2 linked regions of the Struthio camelus genome follow. The protein of the gene in region 2 binds, or shares a complex with, the protein of the main gene of each other region. Links are inferred from orthologs where the notes say so. Each region holds a gene or a part of one and is shown on either strand. Other genes may lie near its edges. The genes, in order: F2RL3 and F2.

The links.
Region 1: the proteins of F2 (region 2) and F2RL3 are in contact, whole or in part, in a crystal structure (PDB 2PV9), measured with the Mus musculus proteins. The link is inferred for Struthio camelus from reciprocal best matches to the Homo sapiens genes F2 and F2RL3. Residues at the interface, in NP_034298.1 of Mus musculus: Glu385, Leu386, Leu387, Cys388, His403, Tyr407, Trp410, Asp411, Arg428, Arg453, Glu454, Asn455, Leu456, Trp501, Gly502, Asn503, Trp508, Thr510, Gln516, Arg538, Ile539, Asp559, Ala560, Cys561, Glu562, Gly563, Asp564, Val585, Ser586, Trp587; in NP_032001.2 of Mus musculus: Asp54, Lys55, Pro56, Asn57, Pro58, Arg59, Gly60, Tyr61, Pro62, Gly63, Lys64, Cys66, Asn68, Asp69, Ser70.

The regions. Positions count from the first base shown.
Region 1 is NC_090967.1:5,384,551-5,391,985, reverse strand, and holds the start of F2RL3 (proteinase-activated receptor 4), read right to left. Parts: upstream 3,024-7,435; 5' UTR 2,886-3,023; coding exon 2,795-2,885; intron 2,034-2,794; coding exon 961-2,033; 3' UTR 1-960. UniProt on the Homo sapiens protein: Receptor for activated thrombin or trypsin coupled to G proteins that stimulate phosphoinositide hydrolysis. May play a role in platelets activation.
Region 2 is NC_090946.1:39,725,376-39,732,849, forward strand, and holds the start of F2 (prothrombin), read right to left. Parts: upstream 3,101-7,474; 5' UTR 2,976-3,100; intron 2,585-2,975; 5' UTR 2,570-2,584; coding exon 2,491-2,569; intron 1,561-2,490; coding exon 1,397-1,560; intron 1-1,396. UniProt on the Homo sapiens protein: Thrombin, which cleaves bonds after Arg and Lys, converts fibrinogen to fibrin and activates factors V, VII, VIII, XIII, and, in complex with thrombomodulin, protein C. Functions in blood homeostasis, inflammation and wound healing.

The sequences.
Region 1 (7,435 bases), on a different chromosome or scaffold from region 2:
ACTCTCAGGAGGTTTATCACTCATTTTTTACCTTGCTGCTCCCTGGGATGTGCCCTAGCTGCGTCTGAGGGACAAGCTAGCTATAATTTGTGAAACATGCAACACGTTCCTGGACTGAGCAACAAGCTTGGTCACCTGCTTCAGCAGAGAAGGCTTGTGATGTTGCACAAAGGAAACGTGGAGTTCCAGAGTGAGGGTTTCCTGAATTCCTTCTTTAATATTTCCCTTCAAGAGGCATAAAAACCCTTTTTCATTAATACAATCTTTGCCTCAGAGTAATTGTGGGTGCTAAAGGTCATCTTCGAAAATGGAAATGAATGAATGAATGTGATTTTTTACATTCCTTATCAACAATGGGCTGACATTACCATGATGTTAATTACTAGACAAGCCAAGAATGTAATTGCTAGAGAAGCCAGCGTTCCACGCTCCTGGAATAATATTTTAGCTCAGGGGAGTATCTTTCACATAGGCATCTCCTTTTACTTCTGAAATGTTCAGAAATTTGATTTTGCAAGTGTCTGTTCTTTTTCAGCTCAGGTGAAGGGAATATCTGATCAAGGACAGCAAGCAAGGCAATAGCAGAGAAAGGAATAGAACACGCATAGCAACCAGGTTGTAAGATGCATTAAGAAAACCAAACCTAGCTACATTGGCAGGAGTGCCACTGGCAGTACGTGAGCAGATGAGAAGTTGCATACGGTGTCCCCATAACAGATCTGTACGTGTTCAGCACTCCACATTTTCTCTGGACTGCATACCTCACAGGAAAGCCCATGGCCCAAGTTAATTCAGTCTTAGCATACAAACAGAAGAACCTGTCTCTTCCTCACCAGGATTTGTCTCCTAGAAAATATTGCTCTCTGCTCTGGATGAAACTTGTGGAGTCTCAGCGTTGTCTCTGTCTCACCCCACCATCTTTTGTGAGTGCCTTGGGAGTGGGGAGCTGGGATGGAGGCTTCACGCCGGTGAATCTTTGGAACTTTTTGGAGGGAGTGTTTCTTTGGATGTTTTCAAGGATGTGGTGGTTTTTTTGCTGCGATTGAAGAATCTTCTCCTCACCTTATCCCGGAAGTCTTCAGAAATATAGTAGTAGATAAAGGGGTCAGCGCAGCTGTTAAAGGTGCTGATGGCCAGGCTCACCATGTAGCTGATATACAGGTCACCATACAGCTTGGAGCAATAGCTGGAGTAGTGAACAAGGAGGAGAACATTGCTGGGTGTATAGAAGGCTACAAGTGTGAACAGCACGAGAGCAGTGAGCTTCATAGTGTAGGAGTACCGCTTTCCGCTGTCCAGGAGGGCTCGCAATACTGAGCAGTAGCTGAACAGTGTCACCACCAGAGGAGCAAGGAAAGCACAGACAATCAGGCAGACAAAGTAGTAGAAGTAATACTCGTCATCCTCATGCCTGGGGAGAACATCATGGCACAGGGCAATGTCTGCTCCATACAGGGGATACGACTGCTGCTGCAGCGTCAGGGGCAGGGTGAGGATGGCAGCACAGAGCCAGATGGCAGTGCAGATGCAGGCAGCAAAGGCAGGGGTGCGGAAAGAGCGTGAGAAGAAAGGATGCACCACAGCCAGGTACCGGTCAACACTGATACACGTGAGCAGCAGCACTGAACAGTACATGTTCCCATAGAAGAAAGCTGTGGTGAGCCGGCACAGGCCTTCCCCAAAGGGCCAGTTGTTCCCCAGGAAATAGTAGAAAATCTTGAAGGGCAGCACCAGGATAAGCAGCAGGTCTGCTGCAGCCAGGTTCATCAGAAAGACAGTGGAGGTCAGCTTCTCAGCCCTGGTGGCCAGCACCCAGAGGGCCAGCCCGTTGGAAGGCAGCCCCACCAGGAAGACGAGGGTGTAGAGGCAGGGGATGAGCCGCACTGTGACCATGCTTCTCAGCTGGGAGCGGGAGGCCTCGTGGATTATCAGGTACGTGGTGTTGTCTATCATCGCCTTTTCCCCAGGAATGGCTCGGGGACACGGTGTGTTCTCTGATGTTGTTACCTGCTCGGTGCTGTTTTGAGAGTAATCTGTCAAGGCAAACAGTCTTGTTACTTGCTGTTTGGGCAGTTGCCTGGGGACTGGCACTTTGCAGAGCAGGCTGGATGTGTAACACTTACCCCAGCCACTAAGGTTTTGCATTTTATGTTGGGGTCCCTAGAAGTGAGAGAATTTTGTAAACTGTATGAAGGTCAGAAAAAACTGACTGACAGAATCAAGTGTGCAGGGATAAACATCAGTAACCAGCCTGTCCTGACCAAATGATCCGTTCTGAGAGAAGTGAATGCTTCCTGCTCGAGCAGCCTTTTACCTTCTTTTTCAGGCCTGACTTGCTCTGACTGGTGTCTTCTGCAAGCCCGTGCAAACTTACACCGTTCCTCTGTTGTGTGGTTTCCCACAATTCACAAATGATTTTTGTATCATATAATTCTCAGCAGGCCTAGAGAGCTGGAGAGCGCTTCCTCCAGGCAGCTTTCGGAAGAATCCTCAGGTCTGGAGCCCCCCGCCCCAGGGAAAGCTGTGGCTGCAGGAGCCTAACTTTAAGCTGAAGGCTTGGTTTCAAGTGCTCCCTGTTTTACTCCTCCTCTAAGCTGTCCCACCTCAGTTTCTTTCTCTTCTCTTCCATAAGTATCTTCTATCATCTCCTGCTTCAATTAGAGTCTGCACCCATCTCAATTAGAGTGTGCATCCATACGATAACTTCACAAAAATGAATTTTCAGGGACCTTATGAATATACCAAGTATCCAGTACTTTAAGAAGGAATTTTTCACCCAAATACATACACTCACCATCGTAGTCTGAAGAGGCCAAGCAGAGTCCCCAAAAGGCGCAGCACAGCATAAGCCTGTGTGACAGCCGTCTGTTCCTGAGGGTCTCCATGCTGGAGCAGGAACCGGTAACGCACTGCCGTGCTCTGAGCTGCGTGAGGACAGCAGTATTACTGACCCTGCTTACGCATTTCCTTCTATCAGTCCTTAACTGGCGGAAGCACCAGGCTGTCACGACATTCCCAGGGTTTGCATTGTCTAAGCAGATGCTTAGCTCCTGCGTCAGCTGAGGGCCAGGGAGGGGCATATGTATCCAGATCCACAGTATGTCAGAGAGAACCCTTGGTTTAAGTGACTCATTTGAGCCTCCTTCCTCCTCCAGAATATTCCTGGAAATGCCACATGTGGCCGGGTTTGATGCAGCTTGAATTTGGTTTAGCGAATAAACCAAACCCACCGTCCCTGAACACCTCTGATCTGCACCAAGCACCTCGCCACCCACTCTTGGGAGAGATCCAAGTGGCCACATGGGAGATCCAAGGTCTTTCCCCACCACCCTGTTTCAAAAAGTTTCCTGATGACATGACAAGATATCATCCTCTCACAGAAGCATAAAAGAAGTGCAGGGGAGCTTCAGATCCAGACAGACCTCTCCAGCTCCCTGGGATTAGGGTTACACAGGGCTCCTGCAGCCTCACACTGTGGCAGTTAATGGTTCTTAGTTTCCCCTTTGCAGCCCTCAGGTCAGGCTGGGCCTTTCAGTGTTCACCTCTATTTCTCCTCCTGCTCCCTGGTTAGACAGGGGACAGAGCTCCTGCGTCTTCCTTCTTGACCTCACTGCAGAGGTTGATTAAAAGTCCTGACTCTTGAGTTGTTTGCACTGGAGAGAATCGGCACTAGCACCAGCCTGGAGTGCTGTACCAAATGAACGATAACTGTCAAGGTCTCAGGGTTCAACAGAGGGACTGTGCTTCCACTGATAAACTACCAGGAACAGGGAGAGCAGCTCCATCCAGCAGGAAAGGGGCCAGACAAGAGCCCACAGGATGTGTCTGCTGCTGGGCAGATAATGGTGAATTTCAGCCACTCTTGTCCTGAGGAGAGCTGTATTTGTCCAGCGATGTGTAGTCTCCACCCAGTAAACCCCCAAGAGGGTAGAGCACGCCTCCTTGCTAGCTAACACCTTGGAGCAACACCATATCTGTTTGTTGTATGGGGACGACCCATGCAGGGTTGTAAGAAGGGCCCCTTGAACTGGCAGATGTTACCTGAACCTTTAGCATCCTTTGCTGCTTGGATCCCCGTTCCTTAACTCTTTGAGAGTGCAGATCCCTTCCATGCTCTGCCAGCTGCCTGGCACAGCATTGCTGGGGAAATCCCAAATCCTCTCGCAGCACCTCTGTAAATGCCCCGGCATGACCACTTCCCGGCAATCAAGTGGGCAGGCAAGAGGTCATAGCTTGAGAGGCTGCTGGGTTTTAGGCTTTTGCTCTCCAGTCTCCTGCCTGGCTCTGCAAGGGAGTAAACACAGAAGCTGGAGTCCGGGCAGTAGGAACTGTAAATTTGGTTTGGCAACCTGAGCAATAGTTCGTTTCTTTCTGCTCGGCTTATGAATGGCCTCTTCTGTGAAGGTTGCAAATCTGAGCCTGGCTGCTGTTTGATGAGATTCCTCTATTCCAAGGAGAAAATGATTCTATTTCCTTTGCTTTTGCTGTATTCCCACATCCTTGTGCCGAGTGTGTTGAGAGGTGGAGTTCCACTGGCAGGGACAGGGAAGATGCAACGTTAGATGTTTTGCTTTTTGTGATTCTCTCAGGATTTATGAACCATTACAGAATGACTCATGTGGCCACATATTTTCCATGCCTCAGCCAGGATCCTTTCCATGCTCTGTATGCAAAAAATTAGACATAATCAGGTTCAGATAGTGTGCAAATCACAGCCCTGCTTCCTATGGCCAGGTCTCTGGAGTGGAGCAGAGAGAGGTTACTCATTGCTGCAGCCTTCATTTTTCAGATGCTGTGTGATCTTTAGTGACTGCTTTAGATGCAGAACAGCTTGCTTGAAAATTCTAATGCCAGAGGTTTGTCACGGCTTGTTAACATCTCTTTAAGTCGTGTGATCCCTGCCCTGTGGGGTAACAATTTGGTTTTAATGCAATTCATTGTGCAATAGCTCACCCCCTGGGAGAAGGCACTCTTTTATTCCATGGCTCTGAACCCGAAAGATGTAAGGCTGGAAAACAGGTTAGGGAAGGAGGGTGTAAACACCACCAGGCCTGCCCCAAACATACATCTTTAATGCTTGGAAGATCAGCGTTTGGAAGTTAAATAGCCTCTTCCTCGTAGAGCTTGCTATTCCCACCCAGTTCCAGGGGCTCCAGGAAGTTCCTCAGCTGCAAGCCAGTAGGTGTCAAGATAGAAATCTTAGTGCAGCTAACACCTGCCCCAGGCTGAGCTCGCATTCGCGATGCAGACAGGAGAGGCAGCCGGCCATGGTGGCAGAGGCTCTGCCTTACAGCTAGCAGCATAGAGCATTTCCACCAGTGTCAGCACAACCTCACATTTTCCATGAACACAAGGCTGATCCTGCCTTTCCTAGCCACTGAGCGTGCTGGTGTCTGAGCCTTCTCAGAACCACAAGGCATAGGAAGCTTCCACTGACCATTGCTATAAATAGAAATGACGATCTTTTTAAGAAGGACACCCCTCCTCTCCCCCCCCCCCCCCAACCCAGATTTGCCTTTGCCTTGCTAGAGAGGTATTGCAGGCTCTGGCGTGTGCAGGATTATTTCATGCCTTGGCCACTCTTCCTGGCTTCACCATCACACCAACTCCCCCTCCTCTCACTTGGTCGCGTCTCTCATTGTCACCCTGAGATGCTGCACAGTTCTGGGGAATCTCTCTGCCTCTCTCATCATCTGTTTGTCCCACAGGTCTCCTGTTCCTCTGGGATCCCACCCATAACTTTTCACTTCCCAAAGCCCAAACCTTTTGTGTTTGTTTCCTCACCATTTGTAAGCCTTATGCTGGTATAACGCTTCCCGGGAGACAATTTTTTTCAGAATTACTATTCTGCCTGCAATTTCATTTCAGAGTATAGAAAGTCCACATGAAGCCATTATTCAGGAATATTTGAAGTTTTTTAGCATCACTACAGTTCACTAGATGATGTTCTGGAACAGCTTCTTTTGGTCTTAGGAAGATAATGACAGTGGGGGGGGGGGGGGGGGCTACCCTGCGTTACACAGACACCTTCATCCCTTCTCAGCGCTGAGCTTAGGGCGATTCTGTCATCTTGGATTCATCCTTTAGCACAGATATAAGTAGAATTGCTAGACTGAAAAGTTTAGTTTTGATGAGTGGAAGATAGAGGGTATCTCTGGTTTCATTATGGTAAAGCTACTTAGTTCTGCTCCAAAGGAATGGCTGAAGCATGAAGAAAATCTCAACTCATGTTTACACACACATACTTCTAGACAGTCTCACTAGTTTACAGTCCCTCTCTTTCTCTGTGTGCGTCATTGTGAGATGAGGATGTGTAAAAAAAAGTCCCGAGATATGAAATACAGAATTCAGGTACTCCCTTTAGCATTTCTTAATTGAATTTAGAAAACCATTAGTTTTTATTCCATCTAGCAAACTTGAAAGATATTTTTAAGCTGTCCTTTATCATTGCCAAATCTGTCCACTTGCTGAGATCTCCAACTGCTCTTGGGTGATGTCAGATCTGGCTGTCCCTTCACAGGGCCTATTGCCTCCCTTGGAGCCCGGGGGACATTCTCTTTGAGAGAAGTCCAAGATCTCCAAGAGGAGACTTTTGTGCAAAGCATACTGTGTCCTCTGAGACACCACTACCATCATTTTTATCAAATTATTCCATACAATTTATGCATCAGAGGATTGTTATTAGGAGAACAACAGTTTGTTTCCCTGTGAGCAAGTAATACTCTGAACAGAAAGTGGAGTTGCCTTTTGTTATGGCAACGGAAGTGTTGAGAATGATGTAAAGGAAACTCCTATCAGATCTGGGTCACATCACTACAGCTTAATTTGCAAAAACTACACATTTGTTTGTTGTGCAGAGCTCGCAGGAACAGTTAAACATGTTATTACCCAGGAATTTAGGGAGGTTGAGGGAAATGCGGGTGGAGGGTTATTTTCATGGTTGCAGTTGTATTGTCTTAACCTGTAGCAGATGTGCTTATAGATTTCAGAACTGGAATCAGTCACTTTCTTGAATGTCTGTTTTATTTAGCGTGTGAGTACTTGGGGGCTAGGCCTGGACCCTATTTTCACACCTCTCATAGCCAAGGTGCTGCTAGAAATAACCGATATGCAGCAAGATATGCTTTGCTGGCACTACAAAATGTTTTCTTTTGAAACCTATAATCTCCACGTGGAGCAACTATGCCACCTCATGGACTTCCATGCTCTCATTTGATTACAGGCCTTTGCTCCAAGAGAGGTCTTGGTTGCACGCATTGGTACTAGCTATAGGCACTACATTTCTTGCCTAAGATCTCTTATTGTGCGCTACTTGCAGGAAAGTTATTTCCCTTTTAGGTTAGCTTGCGCGCTAGCTTACTTCTGCTTACTGTTCACTAACTTCTCTGTGTGTTGGTAAGCTCAGAGATTTGCTGCTTGCTGGCCCACGGGAAGT
Region 2 (7,474 bases):
CTGCAATATCCGGATATCAGATCCCTCTCAGATCCAACAGTCTGAAGCCTGGAAACCGCTTCATCTGAAAGCCCCTGTCCCTAGGTAAGTGGACATGGTACAACTCTGTTGAGGAATGCTGCAATAACGGCTTCTGCTTAGCTGCTTTCCATTCACAGCCTTGGATCTCCCAAAGTACATGTTTTTATCTCACCACCATATAATGTGCTTTGCCTTATGCCTTTTACTGATAAAAGGCAGTACTGCAATATAGCAGTGTCCCTGTGATGGATTAACCTAATGTCTGCAGGAGTCTGTACCATTCTATGAAAGACGTTTTGGTTGTTAATGTGTCCTGAGCCTGCGCTTGGTCTTTGTAGCCTCTGTATTGACCTAGAACAGGCAGGATGTGCCAAGGAAAATTACCGCGCCTAAAAAATGCAGAGATGCAAACTCAATGCAACCAAAGATCAGTTACTGTGCAGGAATATTTGCTATCCATATTAGGCTGTTAATTCAGCCAGAGATCATCTAAGAAGAGACTTTGATCACTTTTTATGGATTGGAGACTAAGCAGACTGATAGAGAGGCCTGGCATTTCTGCAAGAGACCAGAGATGCTTGCAGTGGTTCTCTTATCAATGTGCAGAGGAAACAAAGCCTGTACTACTCTACAGAAGTCCAAGGAATTGGATCTAGAACTTCTAAAGGCTGGTAAAAGGCAGAGGACGCTCTAGAGTAGTGAAGAAACGGAGGCCACAGATAGTATGCAGGTATTGCTCAGCTCTTTAGATCTATGTCTGTCAGACCTCTCATGCCTGAGAGCAATTCCATTAGAAATGCTCTGTAGAGCTTGTACCTTACTGGCTTGAACTCTCAAACGTTCGTCTGTTTACCACTGTATTTTCTGGAACGCGGAATTCAACACTAATACTGATCTTGGGGCTAGGAGCGTTTCCTAAAAGGATGCCAACAGAAATTTTGCAGTGAGCGAGTCCAGAAGCCAGAAAAAGGGACAGTGCCAAAGCTTAAGCTCAAAGGGTCTTGAGGCACCTGCACTCAGTATTTGGTTGCTAAGCCAGCTGTTTTGTGAGTGTCCTGGAGGGCCACTGGGGGCTGTGGCAGTTGAAGATGTGTGGCACTATGCTGAAGTGGAAGGTGCAGTTCTTGACTGATGGCTGAGGGAAGGCTGTTTCATTTTCACTTTGTCCTTAAACTAAAGAGGGAGGGAAAAGAATCCAAGCTTCCCTAAGGAAGTTTAAGCTGTCCCAGGGGCACATGCACACATCAGCCTCATCTCTCAGCACTGTGTCTTACAACCCCCCAGTCCCTGGCTGTGTGTGTGGCATGCTGGTCTCTCGCTACAGGAGCTGGTTGAGGGAATGTTTCTTAGGAGCACCCATGTGCCCTGTACCTACCGTGCGAGCAGTGGATTCCAGGGCTTCAAAGGCCTCCTCGTAACTACATATCTCCTCCAGGCACTCTCGCTCCAGGTTGCCTTTAAGCATCTCTTCTAGAAATCCCTTGTTGGCACGTCGTGGGCGCTTGAACAGTGACAGTGCCTGCCTCTTGTCCAGGAAAACTACCAAGTCAGAACAGGGCCAGTCAATGGGATGCTTGCAGTGAGAGGGCCTCTTTGTCTCCCCTTATTGTTTCCAAAAATCGCACTCAGCTAGTGTGTTGGTCCCATAGCCCAGCCCCACCCCCATTCCACCATGCAGCAACCCCCCATGTCCACACCTGATGATCAGTGCAGTCTCTATAAGCTGTGAGGGTTGTCATCACGTAGATTCCCCTCAGAAGTGAGGGGAATCTTCCATTATCCTTGGCAGGGCAGCTCTGCTCGTTTGCCATTAGGGAGAAGGTTGTTTGCCTGAGCTTGCTATTGGTCTGTGCCAACTGCTATGTTCTGTCTTGCTGACCTCAAACTGCTGCGATAAGGTGCAATTTGGTTCTGTCTTCATGTTCAGAGACCCTAATCTCAGCCCTGTAAACAGGTCTTCCCACACACAGTAGTGGGCTTAGATTAAGAAAAGATAGAGGGAGAAGAGACTGTAATAAAAGATAAGGAGCAGTGAGTGTAGGACAGCTGTGTATTGCAGATGACCAGAAGTGGAGATAAGGGTGGACAGAGGAGGAAATGGAGAATTGCAGCGACCCAAGTCAACTGACTTAACTAGCCCAAACAGGCCCATAGTTGAGCCATGCAAGATCCTGGACCTAGCTACGTTCCCCTTCCCTGCCATCTCCCCTGTGGCCCACACAATCAACTGAGCTATTGTCACTAGGCTTTCCTGCCCGCAGCTGGAAGCTGCTGCATCCTCCTCAGGAAAGCCCTGTGCTCACACCACTGTCTGCACCCTTTAATTCCCAACTTAAAGCTTTTAGAAACTCCCCCTGCCTTACCTAGAGAATCTCCCACGGGCTTTACCCTTGAGAAGAAATAACCACATTTTTGCTTCCTTCCATCACCCATTGGTACTGCCCTCCTCCCTGGGCCCTTGGCTCTTACCTCCGTCATGGCTCAATGTGAGGTGCAGAAGGCTGGAAAAGAGCAGGCCCCTCAGTATGCTGGTTTTGCTGTGCGCCATGCTGTACAGCCCTGGCTGCAGGGGAAACGCAAGGGGAACAGAATAAGCGGAGTCACAGCCCTGCTGGGTTAATATTGAACCAGAATGAAGAAACAGGACTCCAGAGGTCGTGGTGTGTCAGGGACAGTGGGGCTGAGGCTCCTCTTATCCCTCCTCTTTTGGCTTTTTTCCTTCCCTTCAGGGTATCTTCCTTTTCATACTTCATTGGCAGAAACCACACCATAACACAAAACATCTCTGGATGTGTGCTGGTCTCCCCCTCCCCCCACCCCCTGCAACAGGAGTAGAGTTAGTATCCCGTTTCATAGCAGGGAAGAGGACATGAGGAGCAAGATGATGAGCTTGTCCCAGGGTATCGGGAGAATTTGGGTTGGAGAGGTCTCTACCAGCTCACAGCCACCCTTACCAGAGCAGCTCACTCTGCTCATCCTCTGGCTCTTGGCAGGATTGCAGCCTCCCCACCACCCTGGCTTGGTTCCCTGCAGCTGAGTCTCCTCACAGTCTGGGCTCTTTAGTAGCCTCAGGCGCAGCAAGACTTGGAGAGCTTAGCCAATCCCAGTCCTCTTTTTAGCTACAAGCCCACCCTTCGGAGTCCTGTTGTCTTTTCTCCCTGCAGTTATCAGCAAGCTCAGCCGCAGCTATTTTGGCACTAGAGCAGCGTGAAAGAGCCAGCTTGTCTCCCCCTTGTTCTCCCTCACCCATGCCAAGGAGCAGGAGTGCCTGCTACAGTCCTTGTGGAATTTAAATGTTCTTCCCAGTTAGGTCAGCAAGGCCATTTTCATTGCATACTTCCCACTGCATTAAGATTCCCAGGAGGAGGGTGAGGCAGTGAAGTTTGGGTCCCCCCTTTTATTCCCACACCAGTGGAACATACTAAAATAAATCCAAAAGGAAACAGAAGCTCTGCCAAGCAAGGAACATGCAAGCCCGAAACAGCCAGGAAAACAAGGGCTTCCAGGAATAGGGAGGCAGGACTATCTTGAGTGTCATGACATCAGCTAATGAATAAGCCACGAACTGGGCTACTTGACCTGAGAAAGCTCTAGTGATTCCTACAACAAGCAAAAAATGGCACTGTTCTCTCACTGTGAGAAAACAGCGGAAAGCAGGGCAAGGTGAGGGTAGTCCCAGGAACTGCCACATGGCACAAAAGTGCTTTCTGCCAGCAGGGAGCATGTTTTGTGCTGTGCCTCCGTGCAGCAGACATATCCGTAATGTTTATCTCCATAGTAGATGTGCAAATATTAGCATTAGGGTAGCTGAGGAATGACTCTCTGGCCACTGGTACAAAGAGCAGTTGCACAGACTCTCTCCCGTGTTTAAGACCGTTCCCTGTTTTCATACTTCCTCACCCGGACTTTGGAGAGATGTTTTTAGGAATGGCTGAGATGACCTAGGTGGAGGAGCAGGTGTGCGCAGGATTAGCCACAAGCCTAGAAACACCCTGTTTTACTTTGCATGAGGGAAGCAGCGCTATGGAAGGAGGGTTACACAGGCAGGGGCCGCTATGAGGCTGGGGCAGGAAGGAAGCATCGCTGAACAAACAGTTTTCTGAACAGTGATGAAATCAGGGCTGCTGCTGTCTCATGTCTCACGTAGCAGTCACGACTGCTTCTCTCTGTGAGGGGAGGTGCAAACGGCTCCACACTTCTGGAGGCCCCGCTGGCAGGCTCAGCTGCCTGGGGAGCAGAGGATAGCAGCAAGGACACACCTATGTGTTTTCTATGTGATGATTTGATTTTTGGCTCATGCTGCAGGTTGGACACATGACCTCAGGACTGCTGGTCATGCCTGAGCAAGTCCATATGGATGTGAATGCAGGGCACAGAAATATCATCACAGGAAGACTGACACCACCACCACCCCCTATAGCAGTGATGAGAGAGACAGATGCTGCCATATTTTATGGAGGTGTAATGCACCGGTGCAAGTGTTCGTTATAGATCCCATTAAGAAAGGCACTCAGACCCCGTAAAGTATTGATTAGAACAACGTTTATTGTAGCTGACACAAGAAGTAGGAAGGGGATAGCGTAGATGATCTTATGTCTCTCTAGATAGTGGGAAACCCAAGTTGTGTAGCATCGGATGGATCTTTAGTCAGTGTGTGACACACTGCACAGATCCCATCCACGGTGAGGTTCACCGGCATTGTGGGTTTTCCAAGCTCTTGTAGGATGTTCTTAGACGTAAACAGCTCTGTTCGTCATTTCTACTGTCGAGCAAAAGGACGTTCACATGAAAACATGCTGCTTCACTTTTAGACAGAGGCAAGAACGTGTCGATGGCATCATCGCCAGGCACCAAGCGGGAGCTGCTTGCAGAGTCCTCTGTTCTAATTAGCCAGCCAAGCTTATCCTGCGGCCAAGTGATATGTGCAGCGCAGCACAGCACAGGCCTGCGCCTCCTCAGGTCAGCTGCTCCGTGGATCTCTAACTCCTTGGTGCACAATGGTCTTCCGGCTGGTCCCGCTACGCTCCACCCCGTGATGCACTCGCACAGTTGCCCTTTCCTGAAGATTTTGTAGTTTGCAGGTTACATCGGTAAGCTTTCTGGTTGCTGGAAAGCTTCTTATCTATGACACAATTGCTGCAATTAATAATACAAGGGTAGCAGCAAGTGGAACTAACGTTGGGCACGAGAAGGGGTGTAGAATAGCAGTAGTATTGGAGCTAAAACTGCCGCTGATGTCGCACCGTTGGGCAGCAGCGGCGCCAGCTACTTGCCTTGTGGGCTGGCTGGATGATGTGTTGATTCTGATGTAAGGCTTGTATTGCTACGAGGTCAGGCTGCTTTTCAGTTGTTAATTGGTGCGTGGATGTCGTTCCCATGCCGTCCAATGAAGAAGGGCTTGCCGGTGTTGCCAAGTCCCCTTGCGCGCGTTGACGTTTTTCAGCGTGCGTTGTGACAGCCGGTCGGGCGCGTAGAGGAAGACGGAGGTGTTCCTGGGCATCCGTTCTACAGGTAATACTTACTTTGCGTATGGAGCCTGTAGTCTGACGCATTAATTCATTTGGCTGCTGTAACTTCTGGCGCAGTACTTCAGATCCAGCATTAACGTGTTTGTTTGGTTTTTTTTTTTTTCTTAATTTTAACACTTTTGTGAGGCCTTTCCATCTGGCCGGTGCTTTTGGGTAGACTTCAGGCTCTGATCTTTTTTTTTTTTTTTTCCCCTTGGAGCGTGTTGACCTGCTGCAATGGGGTCAATGTGGTTAATACGCTGCCTACCCAGCAGAACCGCAACCCTCCTGTGAGTAGTTGGCCCCGCAGATGCCCGTCTCCCAGCTCAGTTGTCCTGATTTCAGCCACCTCTGTGCTGGTCTCACAGGGGCTCCTGGAGCAGGTTGGGGGGGGGGGGGGGCCATCTCCCAGCAGGGTGTTGTAATCAGCAGGAGGTGCATTGCGCGCAGCCACAAAGTGGGCCAAAACACAATTGGTATAAGGAGAGGAGCCACTGTTCAACCACCCTGTACTCGGAAGAACAGTCCATAGACTTGCTCTGATCAGAAAGACAGGGCTTGATCCACCTTGCCAAAGGGGAGAAAGGGTCCATATTCTGAGAACTTTTTTTTTTCCTTTTTTTAAATATATATGTACAATTGGTTCATGTTTGGATTACATTTGATTGATCATAACCTTGGTGGTGAATAGCTTTTCTGTGATTTGTTGACTGTTTTACCGATCCCTTGTTAGTGTTACTGGTGACATGGTGAAGAAGGTAGCAGAGATATCAAAGGCCTTGTACTTGGGCCTATAGTTAGGCCTCTCACAGGAGGGTTTATGTGAGCTTGCCAGCAATTCAGCTCTCCTCACATTGTATAGCACCTTTTGTAAATGTGTAAAGTGTACTCATAAATCCACATACATATGCAAGCCCATAATTTACATAGTTCAGTATCTGTAAGTTTGGAATGGGATACTCTCAGGTTTTTTTTTTACCTATTGAAGATAAGATTAACACAAGATTGTTATTAATAGTTATCTTTGTTCCCAATGATGCAATTTTTTCCTTCATAGGAGCTTTCAATATACTCAGTCACGCTTTTTTTCCATTCCTTCGTTTCTCTGTCTTCTCTATAATAAAGTTTGTCTTAATAAAGACAAACTTTAGCTTAAATCAGTAATTGGTTTTTTTTCCCCCACACATTCTTGTGATTAGCCTCTGCAGCAGGATAGCGTGCATCAGCTATCACTTCTCCAGGAGCTTTGACTTCCACACCTCAAACATTTTACTCTTGTGTCTCTGTTCACCTTTCCTGTAAGCAACTTTTTATCTTTTTTTTTCTTTCTGCGCTTATGCCATGAGTGAAGGATGTTGTTTTCCTGTCATAGAGTAATAAAGATTTGTACCTTTTTTGCTCCCAAAGGCATGGTTTTCAACCCAATTGGGAGTTTTGATTCTTTGCTCCATATAGACTGAGGTTTTTTTTAAGTGAGGAAATTTTTTGCAACTGTTTATTTCTTATGTAACTTTTTTTCCAACTTCCTGGGAGCAGCATATAGAGGATTTGACTTTAGCCTATTTTCTTGGGCCTTTGTCTGCTCTGCGACCAATATAGATTGCTCGTTCAAAAGCTGGGATGTTTCTGAATATGCTCCTGAGGTGAGTTACATAGTTTGATCAGCAATTGCAACGCTTTAGGTACATTTACAAAAAGATGAATACCCTACACTCTCACCCGGAGGCTCTGTCCCTGAGGATTTGGAACAGGTTGCCCAGAGAGGCTGTGGAGTCTCCTTCCCTGGAGATATTCACAACCCACCTGGACGTGATCCTGGGCAATGTGCTCTAGATAACCCTGTTTGAGTGTGTGGGGGGGTGGACTAGATGATCTCCAGAGGTCCCTTCCAACCTAAACCATTCTGTGAGTCTGTGATTCGGTAACGCTCACAGCTCAGCTGTCAC